Linked DNA regions of Sus scrofa. The protein of the gene in region 1 interacts with the protein of each later gene in a pairwise test. Links are inferred from orthologs where the notes say so. Each region holds a gene or a part of one and is shown on either strand. Other genes may lie near its edges.

The links.
Region 2: the proteins of USHBP1 (region 1) and SERTAD3 interact in binary tests that used the Homo sapiens proteins (3 or more experiments, as listed by UniProt). The two-hybrid records come from large-scale screens. The link is inferred for Sus scrofa from reciprocal best matches to the Homo sapiens genes USHBP1 and SERTAD3.

The regions. Positions count from the first base shown.
Region 1 is NC_010444.4:60,407,537-60,417,339, reverse strand, and holds the start of USHBP1 (Usher syndrome type-1C protein-binding protein 1), read right to left. Parts: upstream 5,712-9,803; 5' UTR 5,346-5,711; coding exon 5,184-5,345; intron 5,097-5,183; coding exon 4,948-5,096; intron 4,718-4,947; coding exon 4,279-4,717; intron 1,070-4,278; coding exon 944-1,069; intron 600-943; coding exon 478-599; intron 314-477; coding exon 173-313; intron 1-172.
Region 2 is NC_010448.4:48,706,743-48,716,368, forward strand, and holds SERTAD3 (SERTA domain-containing protein 3), read right to left. Parts: upstream 6,009-9,626; 5' UTR 5,855-6,008; intron 3,568-5,854; 5' UTR 3,562-3,567; coding exon 2,968-3,561; 3' UTR 2,322-2,967; downstream 1-2,321. Other genes in the region: BLVRB (flavin reductase (NADPH)), read right to left, coding at 8,891-9,048.

The DNA of each region.
Region 1 (9,803 bases):
CTAAAATCGCCTGAAGTTAAGTTCCCTGGTAAGGGAAAAGTACTTTTCTGTGAGGGCCCTGCCTCTCTCTAGGGACGTGTGAGGTCCCTGCCTCTCTCTAGGGACGAGGGCCATCCTTTGAGGATGCCCATTTCCTTCCCAGTCAGTGACATCATGGGTGGGGTGCACTGACCTATACTGCAAGGCTAGATGCAGCGCAGTGGCCTCAGCCTCCAGCTGGCCCAGCTGCATGCTGAGGCCCTCACACCGGCCCTTGTACTCCTGGAGCACAGCCGACAGCAGACGGTTGAAGCATTTGAGCTTTTCAATGTTCCTGCCTCCCGAAGTGGAAAAGAAGGAAAGTGAGATGCCTTGAAGGACAGTTAGGACCTGATTGACTTCCACCCTCCCTCCCCCTCCAGCTCCAGACTCCTGGAGACTCCTCTTCCAGCTGGGAGGCACCAGTGCCCTTACGAGCTCAGCATTTGTGGCTCTTACCCTCGCAGCTGCTCCATCTGGGCTTCCACGATGTGCATCTCAGGGGCAAGCGGTTCAAGCATCTGGGTGCTGGAATCACTCTGGAGGCGCCGAAGCAGGGGATGAGCTGGGGAGAAAGGATCCTGCCAGAAGGCAGAAGGAGGTGAATTTTTTAAAAAAATACACTCCTGTGTGAATCAATCTCTCTCTCTTTTTTTTTTTTGGAGGTGCCAACAGCATATGGAAGTTTCCATGCCAGAGATCCAACCAGTGCCACAGCACTGATAACACCAGATCCTTAACCCACTGCACCACCAGGGAACTCCAGAAGGTGGCTGGATTCACCCAGATTGTCACCAAGAGCCCAGCATCATGGCTTTAGGGCTTTTCCAACCTCACAAGCTATTGGATCCATGACCAGGAACTGAGTCCCATGGCCTAAACCCTAAGCATCTTAAGATCATGGTTTTCAGCTTCCCACACTCACCTGAGTGTCCCAGGTCTCCCTGTCAGCCCCAGAGCTGCTGGAACCACTTCTAGAGCCACCTGCTTGGTCACCAGAGGGCGATGAGAAGGGCTCCAGCCTCAGCAGGGAATCCTGCAGCTCCTGGACCTGTATGGGAAAGGGGGGTGTCAGGCCTGGGGGCTCTAGCATTCTTACCTAAGATCTGTTCCTAGGGCAGTGGCAAGAGCCCTGGCTGGAAGGCAGGACCCCAGATACTCATCCTACCAAATCCCTCACTATACAACCTTGGGCAACTCACTCAGCCACTTAAGACTTCCCTTTTTTTAGATATACAGATAGCCAACAGGTATGTGAAAAGATGCTTAATATCGCTAAGTCTCAGGGAAATGCAAATCAAAACCACCATGTGGGGAGTTCCTGTCATGGTTCAAGGGTAACGAACCCAACTAATATCCATGAGGATGTGGGTTTGACTCCTGGCCTCACTCAGGGGATTAAGGATACAGCATTGCCGTGAGCTGTGGTGTAGGTCACATACACGGCTTGGATCCCGTGTTGCTGTGGCTGTGGTGTAGGCCTGCAGCTGCAGCTCCAATTCGAGCTTCCATATGCTGTGGGTACAGCCCTAAAAAGACAAACAAACAAATGAACAAACAAAAAAACACAATGAGGAGTTTCTACTGTGTCACAACTATGGCGACCTCTTGGGAGCACTGGGACACAGGTTCAATTACCAGCCTGGCACAGTGGGTTAAGGATCTGGCATTGCTGAAGCTGTAGCTTAGGTCACAACTGCAGCTTGGATCTGATTTCTGGCCTGGGAACTCCATATGCCATAGAGCACCCAAAAAAGAAAAGAAAGGGAGTTCCTGTTGTAGCTCAGCAGAAGTAAGTCTGACTAGTATCCATGAGGATGCAGGTTTGATCCCTGGCTTTGCTCGGTTAGTTAAGGATCCAGTGTGTCCATGAACTATGGTGTAGTTTGCAGATGTGGCTTGGATCTGGTTTGGCTATGGCTGTGGCGTAGGCCAGTGGCTACACCTTCAATTTGACTCCAGCCTGGGAACCTCCATATGCCTCAGGTGCAGCCCTAAAAAGGCAAAAAAAAAAAAAAAAAAAAAAAAGATAAACACTGTATGATCTCACTTATATGTGGAGTCTAAAGAAGGAGTTTCTGCTATGGTGCAAAGGGATTGATGGCATCTCCTGCAGCATGAGGACATACATTTGATCCCCAGCTCATGTGGGTTAAAGGATTTGTCATCGCTGCAAGTGTGTCATAGGTCTCAACTGCATCTCAGATTTGATCCCTGGCCCAGGAGCTCCATATGCCGCAGGCCAGCCAAAAAATAAAAGGAATAAAATAAAATAAAATAAATGAAATGAAATAATAAAATAAAATAAAGCAAAATTGGAGTTCCCTGATGGCTCAGTGAGTTAAGGATTTGGCATTGCCACTGCATGGCTCTGGTTATTACTGTGGCAAGGGTTTGATCCCTGGCCTGGGAAAGGAACTTCTGCATGCTGCAGGTGTGGCCAATAATAATAGTAATAATAATAAATTAAAATTTTTAAAAAATTAAAAAATTGGAGTTCCTGTCATGGCTCAGTGATTAATGAATCTGACGAGGAACCATGAGGTTTCAGGTTCAATCCCTGGCCTCTCTCATTGGGTTAAGTTGTCGTGAGCTGTGATGTAGGTCACAGACGGGGTTCAAATCCCAAGTTGTTGTGTAGGCCGGTAGCTACAGCTCTGATTAGACCCCTAGCCTGGGAACCTCCATATGCCACGGGTGCAGCCCTAGAAAAAAAAGTTTAAGAATTGAACATGCAGATACAGAGAACAGATTGATATTTGCCAGAGGCAGGGGGTAGGGGGTAGGCAAACATTTTTTAAAATATATTTTTCTTTTCCATCTTGGAAATGGGCCCCACTCTGTAGGGAAATGGGCCCCACTCCTTGCACTGGCACCTGCAACCCCTAGTGTCACCACCTGGGTCCTTCTCACTCTGACATCTGCTGAGTTCTGAACTCAGATGTAGGACTGTTCCTTTTTTTTTTTTTTTTTTTTTTTTTGTCTTTTTGCCATTTCTTGGGCCGCTCCCACAGCATATGGAGGTTCCCAGGCTAAGGACCAAATCGAAGCTGTAGCCACCAGCCTACGCCACAGCAACGCCAGATCCAAGCCGCGTCCTTAACCCACTGAGAGAGGCCAGGGATCGAACCCGCAACCTCATGGTTCCTAGTCGGATTTGTTAACCACTGAGCCACGATGGGAACTCCTAGAGCTGTTCTTTTAATGGCCCCATGTGGGTGGCTCATGGCATCTGGAGCTAATCAGAGACCACAACTCGGGTTTCCCTCCCACCAAAACTGCCCCTCTGGTAGACTCCCCATGCCTCCACTGCAGTCTCCCAAACCCCCAACCCAGAACTCGTTCTCAAGCCCTCTCTAGCTTTCACACCCACGCTTGCCAACTCCACCTTCAACATTATCTAGAACCTGCCCTCTTCTAGGCACCTGCACAACTTCCATTGATACACCTCTGGACCAGTGTCTCTTCCCTTATCTCCAAGATTCCACCCTCTCCCTCCACCAGCGGTTCCTCCCACAGCCGCCAGAGGGCGCCTGCGTGAGGTCTCAACCCTCCCTCCTTCATAATCCTCTGTGCTTCTCACCTACTGCAGAGCAAAAAAAAAGCTCAAATCCTCCCTGTGACCCACAGGCCCTGAAGAATCTGCCCCCATCACCTTCATACCCTGTATCCTCCCACTCAGCCCCACACCGATCTCCTCACTGTTCCTTGAACACATCAACCACACTTCAACTTCAGGGCCTTTACATATGCTGTTCCCTTTGCCTGGAATGCTCTTCCCAACACTAGCATGGCTCCTACCTTGCCTCCTTGTGTGTGTGTGTGTGTGTGTGTGTGGTGTGTGTGTGTGTGTGTGTGTGTGTTTCTAGAGGTCAAATCGGAGCTACAGTGCCAGCCTACTTCACAGCCACAGCCACTGCAAGATCTGAGTCTCGTCTGCAACCTACACCACAGCTCACAGCAACCCCGGATCCCCAACCCACTGAACCAGCATCCTCATGGATACTAGTTGGATTCATTTCCACTGCACCACAACAGGAACTCCCCTCCTTGTGGTCTTTATTCAAGTGTCACCTCCTCAGTGGGCCTCCCTGATCACTTTACCTAAGATTGCAAGCAACCTTTGTCTGTTTGTGGTTCAGCAGCCAAGCCTCCATAAAAGCCTTACAAATACACAAATGATTGAACTTGATCATGTCCTGTGCCAAACCGCCTCCTCCCTCACACAGGGAACCCTGGGAGGCAGGCTGCCCCACTCACCTCTCTCTGCAGCCTCTCCTTCTCAGCCTGGAAGGCCTTCAGGGAGGACTGGGTGCGGATCAGCTCGTCCTCGCGGCTGCCCAGGGCCAAACGCAGCCAGGTGTTCCTTTCAGCCAATCGGGCTGCCTCCCGCTGGCAGCTCCCAGCCCCCTCCTGCTCCAAGCCTGGCATCGGTCCCCCCTCGCTTCTGTCCTTTGCCTCCATTGGCCCAGCACAGCTTGGGGGCCTGTGGCGCCAGGCAGCAGCAGCCGCTTCCAGAGAGCTCAGAGCATGCTGTAGAGTCTGAAACACATCGGGGGCTCCAGGTTCAGAAGGGCTGGTCTCCCTTTCCCGTGGGGCTGCCTCTGGGGCATGACGGGCTTCCTCTGCAGGCTCATGGGGCCTCTCTGGAGCTAGAGCTGGCCCCCCGTGAGAGTCCCCATCAACTTCTTTGTCAGGCCTGTGAAGAGGTGAGAGATGGAAAGTTCTAGAAATGGGGTCATCTGGGGTGGCTAACACACAGAGGCTTTGTAACAAGGCTGTGACTGCATTGCACAGGGCCTTGAAAGTCAGGCTGAGGGCAGTGGGAGCCATGACATGCATGTGAGTAGGGGAGGGACATAAACAGATCTATGGGTGGGAAAGATGTGCCCAGCCTGGAGTAGGGGTCACAGGACAAACAGGCCTTACCTGCTCTCCAGGCTCTTTGCTTTGGCCTCCACCTCATGGCCCAGCAGCTCCGGCTTACAGCTATCCTGAGATGGCACAGGGCCCAGGTGAGAGCTCCCACTGGCTGCCTCGGCCTCCTCTGAACTCTCTGCCACAGGGTCCAGCTCACCCTGCAAATGATCCCTAGGACTGAGCCAGGCAGGTCTGGGTCCTGAGGTCCCACAGAGATGGGTGTGGCAGGGACAGGGGACACTTACGGGCAAAGCATGCCTCCCTCGCCGGCTTCGGGGCCGCGTGGCCCTGGCACTCATTGTTATCCAGAAATCAGTGTCTTCTGAGTCTTCCTCACCCCCTAAAATCACAACCTGATCCCAACTCAAAGTGAATGCCAGCCTCAATTTCTTCTGTGTAATGGACATCGATTTCACTTCTCTGGAAGGATCTTGAGTTATCAATGATGGTTTGGCACTTTTAAATGCCTCCCTTGACGGGAAGCTCACTACCTCTCAAGGTTGCCCTGACCTCCCCATTCTCCTCTGCCTCTCTTATTCTTCACTGCGTCTTTGTTCCCCTCCCTCCCCTATCTGGGCTTATGGCAAGGACTTCAATGGTCCCCTCTCCCTGCCAGGGCTCTCCTGAACCGGAAGTTCCAATCCTGGGGTTTGGTCCCCTCAGCCTGCTCTACTTCTCTATTACTCTGGGGGCACTTTGGTCAGAGGACCAAGTCCTTGGACACTCTTGGGGTAACTCTGGCTACTGCCTGCTCAGACTTGGGCTGGCCAAGGCCAGCCTGGGAGGGGCCGGAAAACAGGAAACCCCCTCCCAGGGCCATGTGACTTGTTATTGTGCAGTTTCCTCCTGAAGGACAGAGGCTTCCTCGAGCCCCAGCAGGAGGACACATGTCTAGCTCCCAGGATGTCAGTCCCTCCTTGTCTCACCAAGCCCATGGCTCCTCCATCTCTGACTCTTGGATTTAATTTCCCAGAAGCCAGGATGTTCCCCTGAGCTGATGCTCTTCATCTTGCTCCCCTGCAAACTTCTTTTCTCTGCCTGTCAGGGTCAGAATTCTTTTTTTTTTTTTTTTTTTTTTTTTTTTTCTGTAATTTCTTGGGCCGCTCCCTCGGCATAGGGAGGTTCCCAGGCTAGTGGTCAAATCGGAGCTGCAGCCACCAGCCTATGTCAGAGCCACAGCAACGAGGGATCTGAGCCTCGTCTGCAACCTACACCACAGCCCACGGCAATGCCGGATCCTTAACCCACCAAGCAAGGTCAGGGATCAAACCCACAACCTCATGGTTCCTAGTTGGATTTGTTAACCCTTGAGCCATGACGGGAACTCCAGGGTCAAAATTTTTGTTCCACTTCAGTCACAGACCTGGGATTGGTAACCTTGAGCAAGTAATGATCCCCTCTGAGTCTCAATTTCCTTATCTTCCTACAGTGTCATAGGAGTTTTTGGTTTTTGTTTTTTTTCCCAATATCAACAACTTTTTCTTGGAGTTTAATTGATTTAAAATGTTATATTAGTTTCAAGTGTACAGCAAAGTGATTGTTATATATGTGTATATATACTATATATTCTTTTAAAGTTATTTTGAGGTTCTTTCCATTATACATTATTATAAGATATTGAATACAGTTCCCTATGCTATACAGTAGGTCCTTCTTGTTTATTTTATATACAGTAGTGTGTCTGTTAATTCCTCTCCCTACCTTTCCCCTTTGGTAACTGTAAGTTTGCTTTCTATGTCTGTGAGTCTATTTCTGTTTTGTAAATAAGTTCATTTGCATCTTTTTTTTTAGATTCCACATAAAATGATATCACATGATATTTGTCTTTTTCTGTCTGACTGACTTTTTTTTTTTTGGCTGTGCTTGTGGCATATAGAAGTTCCTGAGCCAGGGATTGAACTTGCATTATAGCAGCAACCCAAGCAGCTTGCAGTGACAATACCCAATCCTTAACCTGCTGTGCCACAAGAGACCACCTTGCTTTGTGTGTGTGTGTGTGTGTGTGTGTGTGTGTGTGTGTGTGTGTGTGTATTTCACTTAGTATGATCATCTCTGGGTCCATCCATGTTGCTGCAAATGACATTATTTCATTCTTTTATGGCTGAGTAGTATTCCATTGTGTGTGTGGGTGTGTGTATGTGTGTGTACTGGTATATATACATTTACCAGTGTTATGAGAGTTTTTTCCTTTTTCCCTTCTTTCTTTCTTTTTTTCTTTTTTGGCCGCCCTGCAGTATATGGAGTTCCTGAGCCAGGGATCATATCCGAGCCCCAGTTTCGACCTATACAGCAGCTGTGGCAACGCCAAATCCATTGTGCCAGCCATGGATCAAACCTGCCTCCTGGCACTGCAGAGATGTTGCTGATCCTGTTGCACTACAGAGAGAAGTCCTCACTTGAGTTTTGTTTGTTTGTTTGTTTGTTTGTCTTTTTGCCATTTCTTGGCCCGCTCCCACGGTATATGGAGGTTCCCAGGCTAGGAGTCCAATCGGAGCTGTAGCCACCGGCCTTTGCCAGAGCCACAGCAACTCAGGATGTGAGCCACTTCTGCGACCTACACCACAGCTCATGGCAATGCCAGATCCTTAACCCACTGAGCAAGGCCAGGGATCAAACCTGAAACCTCATGGTTCCTAGTCAGATTCGTTAAACACTGAGCCATGACGGGAACTGCCTCATGGGAGTTTTAACAAGCAATTTGCACATGGTCAGGCACCATCAGGGAAATGAATGGTTAGACATCCTCCTTGTTTCCTACTGACTCTTTATCCATCTCATCTCTGCTTCCTCTGCCAGCTGCTATTTCTCCTCTATAAATGTTGGATTCCTCAGAGCCCAGCTGGACCCTATATCCTGCTCATTTTTCCTGCATGTACCTCTAAAGGCCACCTCCTTGTCTCGTCTCCATCCACAATCACAGCCCAAGCCTCTCCTCCCCAATCTGGATGCCAGCCAGCTCCCTCCCTGGGCTTCCCGGCTACCCCTCCACTCCCTTCCCCACCCAGACTCCAGAGACAGAGATACCACTGTTCTCTTCCCCTGCTCATACACCCTCCACGGCTCCCCATTGCCCTTGGGAAACATTTCAAGCTCTTCAGCCTGGCATTCAAGGTCTTTAAAAACAATATGCTTTCTGCTAGCACCAGTATGTACTCCATGCTGCAGCCACAATGACCTCCTCTGTGAAGGAGGTCAATTCTCTCACACTCAATTCTCTCACACTCTGGAGACATTGGCCGTGCCATAACCGCTACCTGAATCACCCCTTCCTTCCTTCTGCCTTTGGTTTAAACTGTGCAGAGCCTAGGGCAGCATGAATGTTCTTGAATCTCCCACCGACAGACCCTAGGAGGCTGAGTCTTCCTGCTTCTGTGTCCCCAGAGACACAAGGAGAGAAGTTGAAATTCTCTGATATTAGGGGTGTGTACCCAGGGGCAATGAAATTCTCTCTCTAACCCTCTGCTCTGGCCATATTAACCTGTGAGAGGCTCCAGCCCTCCAAGGCTCCTCAAAGTCTCCAGACCTTTGCCCAGGCAGTTCTTTCTGCCGAGAATGACCTCCCTCTTCTTGTTTTTTTTTCCAACAAATTCTCCATTTTCAAAGCAGTGATAGCCCCTCTGGGCTACCACTGAACCAGAGCCTGGCTGATTTGGGTAGGCTTTTACAAATAAAGAAACTGAGGCTCAGCTTTAAAGTGGTTATGGTGGAGTTCCTGTGTGGCTCAGTGGTAACAAACCCCAGTGGTATTCAAGAGGGTGCGGGTTCGATTTCTGGACTAGCTCAGTGGTTAAGGATTTGGCATTGCGATGAGCTGTGGTGTAGGTTGCAGATGCGGCTCAGATGTCAAGTTGCTGTGGCTGTGGTTAGGCTGGCAGCTGCAGCTCGCATTAGACCCGCAGCCTGGGAACTTCCATATGCTGTAGGTGCTGCTCTAAAAAGCAAAATAAAATAAAATAGTTATGGGGCTGAAGAGTAAATTCCGCATGAAGAAGGAAGAGTAGTTTGAAATAGTTCTGGCTTAGTGTTGTTGGTTTTTTGTTTTTTGTTTTTGTTTTTGGTCTTTTTGCCATTTCTTGAGCCGTTCCCGCGGCATATGGAGGTTCCCAGGCTAGGGGTGGAATCGGAGCTGTAGCCTACGCCAGAGCCACAGCAACGCGGTATCCGAGCCGCGTCTGCAACCTACACCACAGCTCACGGCAACGCCGGATCGTTAACCCACTGACCAAGGGCAGGGATCGAACCTGCAACCTCATGGTTCCTAGTCAGATTCGTTAACCACTGTGCCACGAGGGGAACTCCTGGCTTAGTGTTTTTTAATTTCTGCAGATGTATGTAAAATAAGGAGAATTAAATAATTGGGCGGGGCCTTGGGATCTAGACCACGCCTACCTCCGCGGCAAAAAAAAAAAAATCCCTCACTGAGGTGCGGTCAACTTCATCAATCACCAACCAGCCCGCCCCTTCTGAACTCTGCCCAACTGTTCCACTCCATTTAATTACGCTGCCAGCTCGGACTCCTCCATTTTTCGAACCCAATCCCACTAAAAGTCCTACTCCCCTCTGCCTCGTTCCAGCCTATCAGGGTAGAAGCATTGACCAGCGCAGTGGGAATCAGTCAGAAACATGAAAAGTTCCTCCTCATCTCTCTTTAGCCAATCACTTTCCAGATCCCTCTCCACTCGGCTCCACTCCAGTTTATCGCAATCCAAACCCCACCGCCTAGCACAGTCCCAGCCTATCAGCATCCAAGACTCTCCGGCTTCATCCCATTCACATCTCCGCGCGGCTTGAGGCCTGATGAACTACATTTCCCAGGAGATGTGGCGGCCGCGCCATACCACTTCCGGCTGCTAAAGATGGCGGCT
Region 2 (9,626 bases), on another chromosome or scaffold:
ATGCAGCATATGGAGGTTCTCAGGCTAGGGGTAGACTCAGAGCTGCAGCTGCCAGCCTAAGCCAGAGTCACAGCCACAGCAACACCAGATCTGAGCTGCCTCTGTGATCTACACCACAACTTGCAGCAACACTGGATCCTTAACCCACTGAGCAAGACCAGGGATCAAACACGTCTCCTCGTGGATACTAGTCAGGTACTCCTGAGCCACAAGAGGAATGCCCTAATTTTTATTAAAAAAAAAAAAAATTTTGGCCACACCTGCAGTATGCAGAAGTTCTCAGGCCAGGAATTGAACCTGCACCACAGCAGTGACAACTGCCAGATCTGTAACCCACTGAGCCACCAGGGAACTCCTATTCCAACTCTTGAGGCAGGACATGGTGTGTTTGAAGAACATCAGAAAATAGTGTCGGTAGAGATGAGTTGAAACAGGTGGAAGGGAGGGTTGGCCATTGCAAGGTTGGGACTTCTTAATAACAGGAAAAAAAAAAATTGTGCCCACCTGTACCAAGCATAGTTCTTTTTTTGTTGTTGTTTTTTGTCCTTTTAGGGCCCCACCCATGGCATATGGAGGCTCCCAGGCTAGGGGTCCAATCAGAGCTGCAGCTGCCGGCCTACACCACACCTCATGGCAGCACTGGATCCTTAACCCACTGAGCAAGGTCAGGGATCGAACCTACGTCCTCATGGATACAACTTGGGTTCATAAACCGCTGAGCCACGGTGGGAACTCCCCAAGCATAGTTCTTTATGCAGTACAACATAACACCTCCCTTTCGAGGACTCCAACAGGAGGCTAAGCATAAAAAGGTCATAATTTGAGACTGGATTGATGTTACAAAGAAAATCCAACCATGCGAAGTGGTGGCGGTGGGGAGGTGTGCCCGGACGTGCTGAGCTGGGAAGGGCGGGGAAGATCTCTGTGAGAGGAGAGGATTGGTGAAACTAGCCAGGAAGTGTCTCTGGGCAGCTAACAGCAAGTGCAAAAGCCCTGCAGGGAGCTGAGTGGGGAGGGGAGAATGAGATTAAAGTGGGTAAGTCAGGAGCAAGATTGTCAGGCTTTGCCTGCCTCGGTGAAGTCGGGGTTTTATTTTGAGTGTGAGAAGTCACCAGTTTCAAGTTGGAGGAAGACATGATCCAGTGGGCATCCACATTGAGACGGGGACCTCACGCGCCTTCTTGAGATGCCCTTGACCAGCTGCTCTCTCTCCAGGCTGGAGACTGCCCCTCTCCAGACCGCCCCACCTGTTCGTGGTAAGTGACTTGTTTTTAGACTTAGATGCGATGCTCAGGAGGAGGACCTGCCTTTAAGCCAGAAAGCAAGGGCAAAAATCCCCTTCCTCTCCCTGCTTGTGGACTACACTCAGGTTCCTCCTCGCACGCCTTCCAGAAAAGTCCCTAATGCTGTGTACATACCTGCTGCCTTGTCTTTGAAGGTCTTTGTGGCCGCCTAGCCAGTGCAACAGTCTGTCACAGGGTGTTTTCCCTGGCCTCGCTCCCTCCCTCTCAGCAGCCTGGCTCACATCTCCTAAATAAATCATCAGAACCACTCTAGCCTAGGTTCTGCTTCCTAGCCAACAGTTTTCTAGAAAGATCTGCTTTTAGTAACATGGGGTCTCTGGGCATTTCTCTCTCCTCTGGGCCTCAGCAGCACATTTTCTACAATGAAAGTGTTGACTTTTAAGTGTCAGAGAGCCCTAGCCTTTGACATGTAACCCATGGGCCCGTTTTGCCCTCCTGTGTCCACCAATGTGGCTGAGGTGTCTAAATCTATCACGAAGCAACAAATACAATAGTTAAGAAGTCTCTGGAGGGAGACTGAACTTGAGTTCTAGTTCCTTGCTCCTTCCTAGCTATGCGACCCTGAGCAAGTGACCTGGCCTCTCACCTCAGGCTCCTCCCATGGAAAACATGGCAACAGGATCTTTTTTTTTTTTTTTTTTTTTTTTTTTGTCTTTTTGCCTTTTCTTGAGCCACTCCCCAGTGGCATATGGAGGTTCCCAGGCTAGGGGTCGAATTGGAGCAGTAGCCACCCGCCTACACCAGAGCCACAGCAACACCAGATCCAAGCCGCGTGTGCGACCTACGCCACAGCTCACGGCAACTCCAGATCCTTAACCCACTGAGCCAGGCCAGGGATCAAACCTGCAACCTCATGGTTCCTAGTCAGATTTGTTAACCACTGAGCCACAACGGGAACTCCAGGATCTATTTCGTATCCCTGCTCCAACTCTGACAGGGCAGAGATGCAGGAGTCTAGGGAACTTACCAGGTCCCTCCCACTGACCCACTAAAGTTTAGAAACTTTAGGCAACACCACCCCTTCCAAAATACTTTTATTAAAAAAAAAAAAATTACAATCAGAAAACAAAACAAAAAAACCCACCACAAAACCTGCCTTTCTATTAAATAATGCGGCATGGAGCAGTTTGGTTTCCACCCTATTGCACGTGGTCCGGCCTGGTCATGAATCAGGAGGCTGCTGGGACTGGGGTCCTATGAAGGAGGTGGGGTTCAGCCTGGGGAGGAGGCCAGCCCCTCCCATTCCCTAGAGGTGCAAGAGGCAGAAGCTGGGTTTCCATAGCAACCAGGCAGCACCTCCCTGTCATCCTTTGACAGGCCCAGCTTATCTTCCCTGAGGCCCCAGGGGACACGAGGGGAGTAGGAACTGGAGGGAAAGGCAGAAGAAATGTGGACGTGGGAAATCAGACTCCCAGAAACAGAGTCTCATTAAGGCATTTGCAACAGATAAATTAATTCAGGAAGACCCACCTTCACAGAAGGCTGCGATAACCAGACACACACACACATGCAAGACAGTTTGTGGAACCCTGAAATGGGAGCAAAGGAGGCCACAGTTACTGCTTAAAGCCTCCATATAAACACACACACACAGAGTTGCATCCAGGGATTTCAGCCCACCAAGGCTGAGATGGGGAAGGAGCGCCCCCTCCCCATCAAAGTTTTAGGATCCCAGAATGATTTCCATGATGTGATCTAGTTCATTCCACTCCCAGGAACCTGGGGCACAGAAGAGGTTGTGAGGAGGCTCGGGTGGGGTCAGTGCAGGCTCCTTCTCCACTGCCGATGTGTCAATGTCCAGGAAGAAGTCATCCAGGCCGGAGTCCCCTAGGTACCGGGAGCTCAGAGCTTCTAAGAAGACCGGATCGGGCTGGGGCAATACTTCATTCTGGGGACCTGGGGGAGCCACTGGATTGGGAGGGGGCTCAGTCTCATCCATGGAGGTCTCCAGCTCCCTGAGAATAGAGCCGATGGTGGTCGACAGGGAGAAGTCCTCCTCGCCCAGGAAGAGGGGCTCGGGGGGCAGGGCAGGTGCAGGCGTCAGGCAAAGCGCTGCTTGGAGTTGTTGGAGGGTGTTGTGGATGAGGACATGCCTTCGAAGGCTGGGTGCTCGGGGGCCCAGGCTTCGCTGGACTTTGTCTAGGGAGATGCGGAGCAGGGCTTGCTGGTAGCTCCGAAGGCCTGTGGGACTCCAGTCCCACTTCTCATCCTCTTCTTCCTCCTCCAAATCTGAGTGTTTCCTCTTCAAGCCTACCATGATGCCCTGTGGTAAGAAGAGGGGCAAGTGAGACACAGCAGGGTTAGTTCAAATCCTGAATCTCCTGTATGGCTGTTGATTTTTAATGGCCCAAATAAATCTCACAAGGCTAAGGAAGAGAGTATATGTATGTGATTAACAAAACAAGATCTGGACGCAAGACACAGCTGGGTTTGAATCCCACTTACTGGCCCATGTGGCCTCCAGTAGTGAATTTACTTCCTTGAGACTCAATTTCCTCATCTACAAGGAATCTTAATTCAAGTTCTGGAGTCTTAAGGCTGTTCTTTCACAATACTCTTATTTTCAAACACGACACACACAAGACAGATACTGAGTACAGACACCTGGCCTGCAAGTAGAGATTCCTAGGGTTGACTTCTGCCTTTCACACTGCTCAGCTGTGAGATCTTGGGAAGTGATACTACACGCACAATGAACAAGAGTTCATTGCCAGTTATTTATTGAAAAAAAATTTCTTTTTAGGCCGGCACCCTGTGGCATATAGAAGTTCCCAGGCTATAGGTCAAAATCGGAGCTTCAGCTGCTGGCCTACACCACAGCCACGCCAGATCCTAGCCACATCTGTGACCTACACCGCAGCTCACGGAAACGCCTGATCGTTAACCCACTGAGCAAAGCCAGGGATTGAACACCAGTCTCATGGATACTAGCTGGGTTCCTTACCGTCCAGTCACAACGGGAATTCCTCATTCAATATTTTTATTTGAGGAGTTCCCGACGAATCCGACTAGGAATCATGAGATTGCAGGTTCGATCCCTGGCCTTGCTCATTGGGTTAGGGATCCAGCATTGCCTTGAGCTGTGGTGTAGGTCGCAGACAAGGCTTGGATCTGGCGTGGCTGTGGCGAAGGCCGGCGGCTATAGCTCGGATTAGACCTCTAGCCTGGGAACCTCCACATGCCGCGGGTGCGGTCCTAGAAAAGACAAAAATATATATATTTCTTTAATTTGAAAACAAAATGAAACAAAAAATAAAATACAGGTCCACAATCACTTAAAAAATTTTTTTTTTGAATGTCTACTATATTCTAGCCACCTGGAACCCTGATAGGGAACCTATCTGTGGAGACTCTTCTTTTACAGAGAACAAATATTTTTCCTGACTGGGAGCTCTCGCAACAACAGTGAAAATACCTCCCTCACTCCCTCTGTGGTTGCCTTCAGGTTTCTCCAGCATGAGTCCGGTAGGAAAACTCGCCAGAACATTACTCACGCCAAGCCCCGCCCCCGACCAGCCCATCCAACCAGGCCCCCGCTCTCTACAGGCCCCGCCCCCTCGACGAAGTTCGAGTTCGGAACCCAGACACGCCCCAACTTGGTCCTTGGGGCTTATGGGAAATGTGGGCCAATAGCCTCCAGGTACACGTACTGACGTTGAACGCGCACTACAACCCCCGGAGGGCTCAGCAAGCCGCAGGGACGCACCTTCCCCGCCTTCCCTTAGGGCATGCGCAAAGCGGCCCGTGGTGGGTGGGGGAAGGGAACCCGGACGTCCAGCTGCCCGGCGCCCGCCGAGCCCCGCCCTCCGCTGCCTTCAGGGCTGCGGGTCTGAGCTCCACGCCCGAAACACCCCTCCCCCACCCGACTCCGATTCTAAACTGCTTTCTACCGGTCCTGCGGACCGTAGAAAGTCCCAAATTCTTCCATCAAACTACTCTCGGGTCCAGAGACCCAGGCCCCAACACATCGCTCAAAGACTTACAAATGCTCTCCGATGCGCTCTGTTCGGGCCGCTAGGTATCTGAATTTTGAGACCCTCCCCGTCAACTTTCCCCTATTCTCCGGTCTTTCAAATGCTTCTCAACCTCATCTCCGACTCCCCCTCCGGCTCCAAGACCTGACTGGGAACTCTCCTCTCCCCAGGACCCCTCTCCACCACTGCGTCTAGGAGATCGAGTCCTTGCCCCTATTTCTTTCGCTTCTCCAAATGCTCGGGATCACAGCGCAACGCCTCAAACTTTTTCCTGAACAGTAGTGCCCGACTTTAACTCGTCCCGGAGACCTGAATTATCCCAATCTTCAGATTTCCTGCCCCCAAAAGTTCCTTCCCTAGTTCTCTCGCTTCCCAAACACCCCGTGTCCCAGCTTCAGACTCCCTCCACTTGAAGACCCTGTCCCCAAAACTTCGCCTTCCTTTCAGGATCTCGAAACTCAGTCTCTCCAAACCTGCGCCCCCTACTCCCACCCATACCCCGCCTCCACAACTCTCCGGAGCGCCTCCACTTCCCTCAACCCAAGGCGGATCCCAAGCCAGGCAGCCACACCTCACCTCAACTGCCAGGTTCGCAACAACTACCTCCGGGAACGCCCGCGGCTTTGCGACCCTCCTTTGCGAGTGCTGGGTAGGGGCCGCGCTCACCACCCCGGGGCCTCTCGGTCTGGCCTCAGGCCCACCCAGCTCCGCCCGGAGCCGAGCCGCGAACCATGATTGGCTGGAGTCCTGCCCACCGCAGGGCGCGGATTGGCTAGGCGGAGCTACCGCCTGTCGCCTGGAGACGCCGGACCCGCCTTCCCCTCCTTCGCTCCGCGGACCTTTTAAAGGATTCTGACTTGCCGGGAGGCAGGGCCACCTCTCTAGGGTGGATGTTGCACCAAAACTGTTTCTTTCAACTCGGCTACTGTCCTCGCTCCAAGACCGTCTTCATTGCTCTCTGCGACCCCTTTATACCAAGCCTGGACCCAGTCGCGGAGGAAGATTGACAGGCACGCCCGGCCCCACCCCGCTTACCGGGAGGACCCCGCTGCGCCTCTCACGAAGGCCGCGCCCCTAGCTTTGGAGGGCGGACCCTGCGGAGGAGGAGGATGACGCACCGAAGGCCAGCCAATAGTTTGGTGCGGCCTGTGTTGCCTGGGAGATCTTAGCCCTTCCTCCCTCAGGATGGCACCCCTGCTGCGGGAAACTCGCTCTTGGCTCCCCACTGTCGTGGGGACAAAGTCCAAACTACTTTTTTTTTTTTTTTTTTTTTTTGCCTTAAAGCCCTTCAGGTCTGGCTTGATGCACTCTCCCTTGCTCTCTACAATCCTGCCGCACCGACTGACTCACTCTTTCTAAAATGGCTCCACCGCCGTGAACAGAGATTCGGTTTTCTTCCCTGCCTTATCTTCAGTGCCTACAACAATGCCAGGTTCGTATCAAGTTCTCGAAAATGAGGGGGGAAAAAAAAAGACCTCTGGCACAACATTGTAAGTCAAAATCAAGGATACTTTTAAAAAGACCTCTGGATCTTGAAACTTTTTCCCATCCTGAAAATACGCCCTCAATTCCCAGGCTGCCTCTTGAGTCAGAACTCTTCTCAAAGTTTTCCTCTCAGTTCTGAGGCTCCAGGGATGGTCCAGACCCATTCTGGCCTCCCACAGGGTCCTGTGCTTCCCTCATCGCGACCCTGACTCCTTTGCCTGAGTCTCCCCGACCTTGGCCCTGGCCGTCACTGGATTGTGGGCCTCCTGGGGACACGTACCAATGTTATCTCACTGCTTGGTCCCCAGCATCACCTAGCACAGGGCCGGACACAAGGCAGGCGCCCAGTGAAAGAAAGTTTGTTAAATGCAGACACTGTAACAGAAGAAATAAAGCGGGAGGAAATGAGTGCGGCCGGTGCCCAGAAAGCCTGAACCAGCCCTGCCCCACCCCCACAACACGTTCCCGCCCACGGGAGGAGAGAGTTTTCTCCAGGCCGCTCCGGAGAAGGAAGGTTTAAGGCTCTTTGGACCAGTCCTCGCCGGTTGGAATTTGTCAGTCATGTAGTCCAGCTGTGTGGAGAAGAGTATAGGATGGGAATGGATTTGGGGTTGGGGGAGAGCTTTGGGGGTTAGGTAAGCGAGGAGTGGTTTGCTCAGTCCTGGGAAAGGTGTCTCTGGGGGACAAAGGTGGGGGAGAGTAGATTCCAAGAAGGGACATGATTAGGAAGAGGCAGTTCTTCCCCTCCCCGTGCCGAATCAGCCCCTTCAGGCTTCCTGTCTCAGGGTGGCCCTACTGCAACCCCACTTTCAGGATTCAGTCCTAGGTTTCCTTCTGGTGCCTCCCTCCCCTCCCAACTGTCCACTCAGGCTCCCGCCCACTCTCCCTCTCTTCCTCAAGGTCCCAGGACACCCTCTGGGTTCCCAGTCTCTACTTCTGCACCCTCCCATCCACCCGCACACAGTAGCCCAGGGAAGCTTCATAAAACACAAACCCGGAGTTCCTGTCGTGCGGCTCACCAGTAATGAACCCAACTAGTATCCATGAGGATGTAGGTTCAATCCCTGGCCTCTTGCTCAGTGGGTGAAGGATCTGGCTTTGCTGTGGCTGTGGTGTAGGATGGCAGCTGCAGCTTGGGCTCAGCCCGTAGCCTGGGACCTTCCATATGCCGTGGGTGCGGCCCTAAACAAGCAAACAAACCTGAGTGTGATCCCCCCTCCCCACCTCTCCCTTGCTCCACTCTTTGCATAAAAACTTAGACTAAAGCTCAAACTTTTACAAGGACCCTGGCCGGTTTAGCACCATAGAACAGCCTCTTGGGGTTGATCGCTCCTCCCCTCTGACCAAAGTATTAACTGTAGGGGATGGGCTTTAGTTCTTCAAAGGGGCCATGTGCTCATGTGGCCTCTTCTGCCTGGAACGCCATCACGCCTTAGAACCTTCCCTTGGCTCATTCTCACTAAACCAGGTTTCAGGTGGGACAGCTCATCTTCCACAGAACCTTCCTCAAGCTGGGTCCCTCGGCTCTCTCTGCTTCCTCCATCAGAGCCCTGGCCACTCACTCTGTGTTGTCACTGTCAGGGGCAGGGCTGTCTTCCACGTTGGACAGTGAGATCCATGAAGACAGGGTCCCCACTGTCTTCACTGGTTCCCCAGCACAGGGCCAGGTGAGGAAACAAATGGATGAATGCCCAGAAAATCTTTTTTCTCTTTTTTTTGGTCTTTTTAGGGCCAAACACACAACACATGGAGGCTCCTAAGCTAAGGAGCTGTAGCTACTGGCCTACGCCACAGCCAGCAATGCCAGATCCAAACCATATCCAAGACCTGCACTGCAGCTTGCAGCAACGCTGGATCCTTAACCCACTGAGCAAGGCCAGGGACCAAACCTGCATCCTCATGGATACTCGTCGGGTTCTTAACCCGCTGAGCCATAATGGGAACTCCTGCCTAGAAAACCTTACACAGAGGCAGACAGGACAGTGAAGACACCCTGACAGAGCCAGGGAGAGGAAGAGACATAGAATTGGGTCCTCCTGAATAAACTGAAGCTCTTAGCTTGAGATTTATTGTTCCCATCCTTTGCTGTAGCCACAGGATGCTGTCTTCCTGGACGGGGTCAGAGCCCTATTCGTACTCGTGGGAGGGGTAGGTGTTGTGGCCGTTGTACTCATCAGTGGTGAGGCAGTGCAGCATGAAGTGGCCCAGGTCATGTTTGGAGATGACCCTAGAGGGCCCTCGTCCATCCAGGGTCACCGTGTAGGCCCCGGTCAGCGGCTGATCTCCTGTAAGGTAAAGATTGAGGGGCCAGGTAAACAGATGTCCTCCCCCGTCACCCTGCGCAGGGTCACACCAGTGACCGTCTACGGTGTGCCCAGTCCAGACGGTAGAAGATGGTGAACGAGCCAAAAGCCATGAAACCCTTCCCACGTGCAGGGTGCTAATCTGTACCCTTTACTACATTCATTCAACACATACTTTTTTTTTTTATTTTTTTTATTTTTAAGGCCATACCCACGGCATATGGAGGTTCCCAGGCTAGGGGTTGAATCGGAGCTGTAGCTGCCGGCCTACACTACAGCCACAGCAATGTCTGCAACCTATACCAGACCCTTAACCCACTGAGCGAGGCCAGGGATTGAACCCACGTCCTCATGGATACTAGTCAGGTTCATTAACCACTGAGCCACAACGGGAACTCCTTTTCAACAAATCCTATTGATGACCTATTATGTACCAGGTGCTGGGCATGCAGCAAGGGACAAAATAGACAAGGCAACTAGTAAAAAGTAGAATATGTTAGATGGTGAGAAATATGTTAGATGGAGAGAAATGAAGCAGAGAATGGGCTAGGACCTATTAA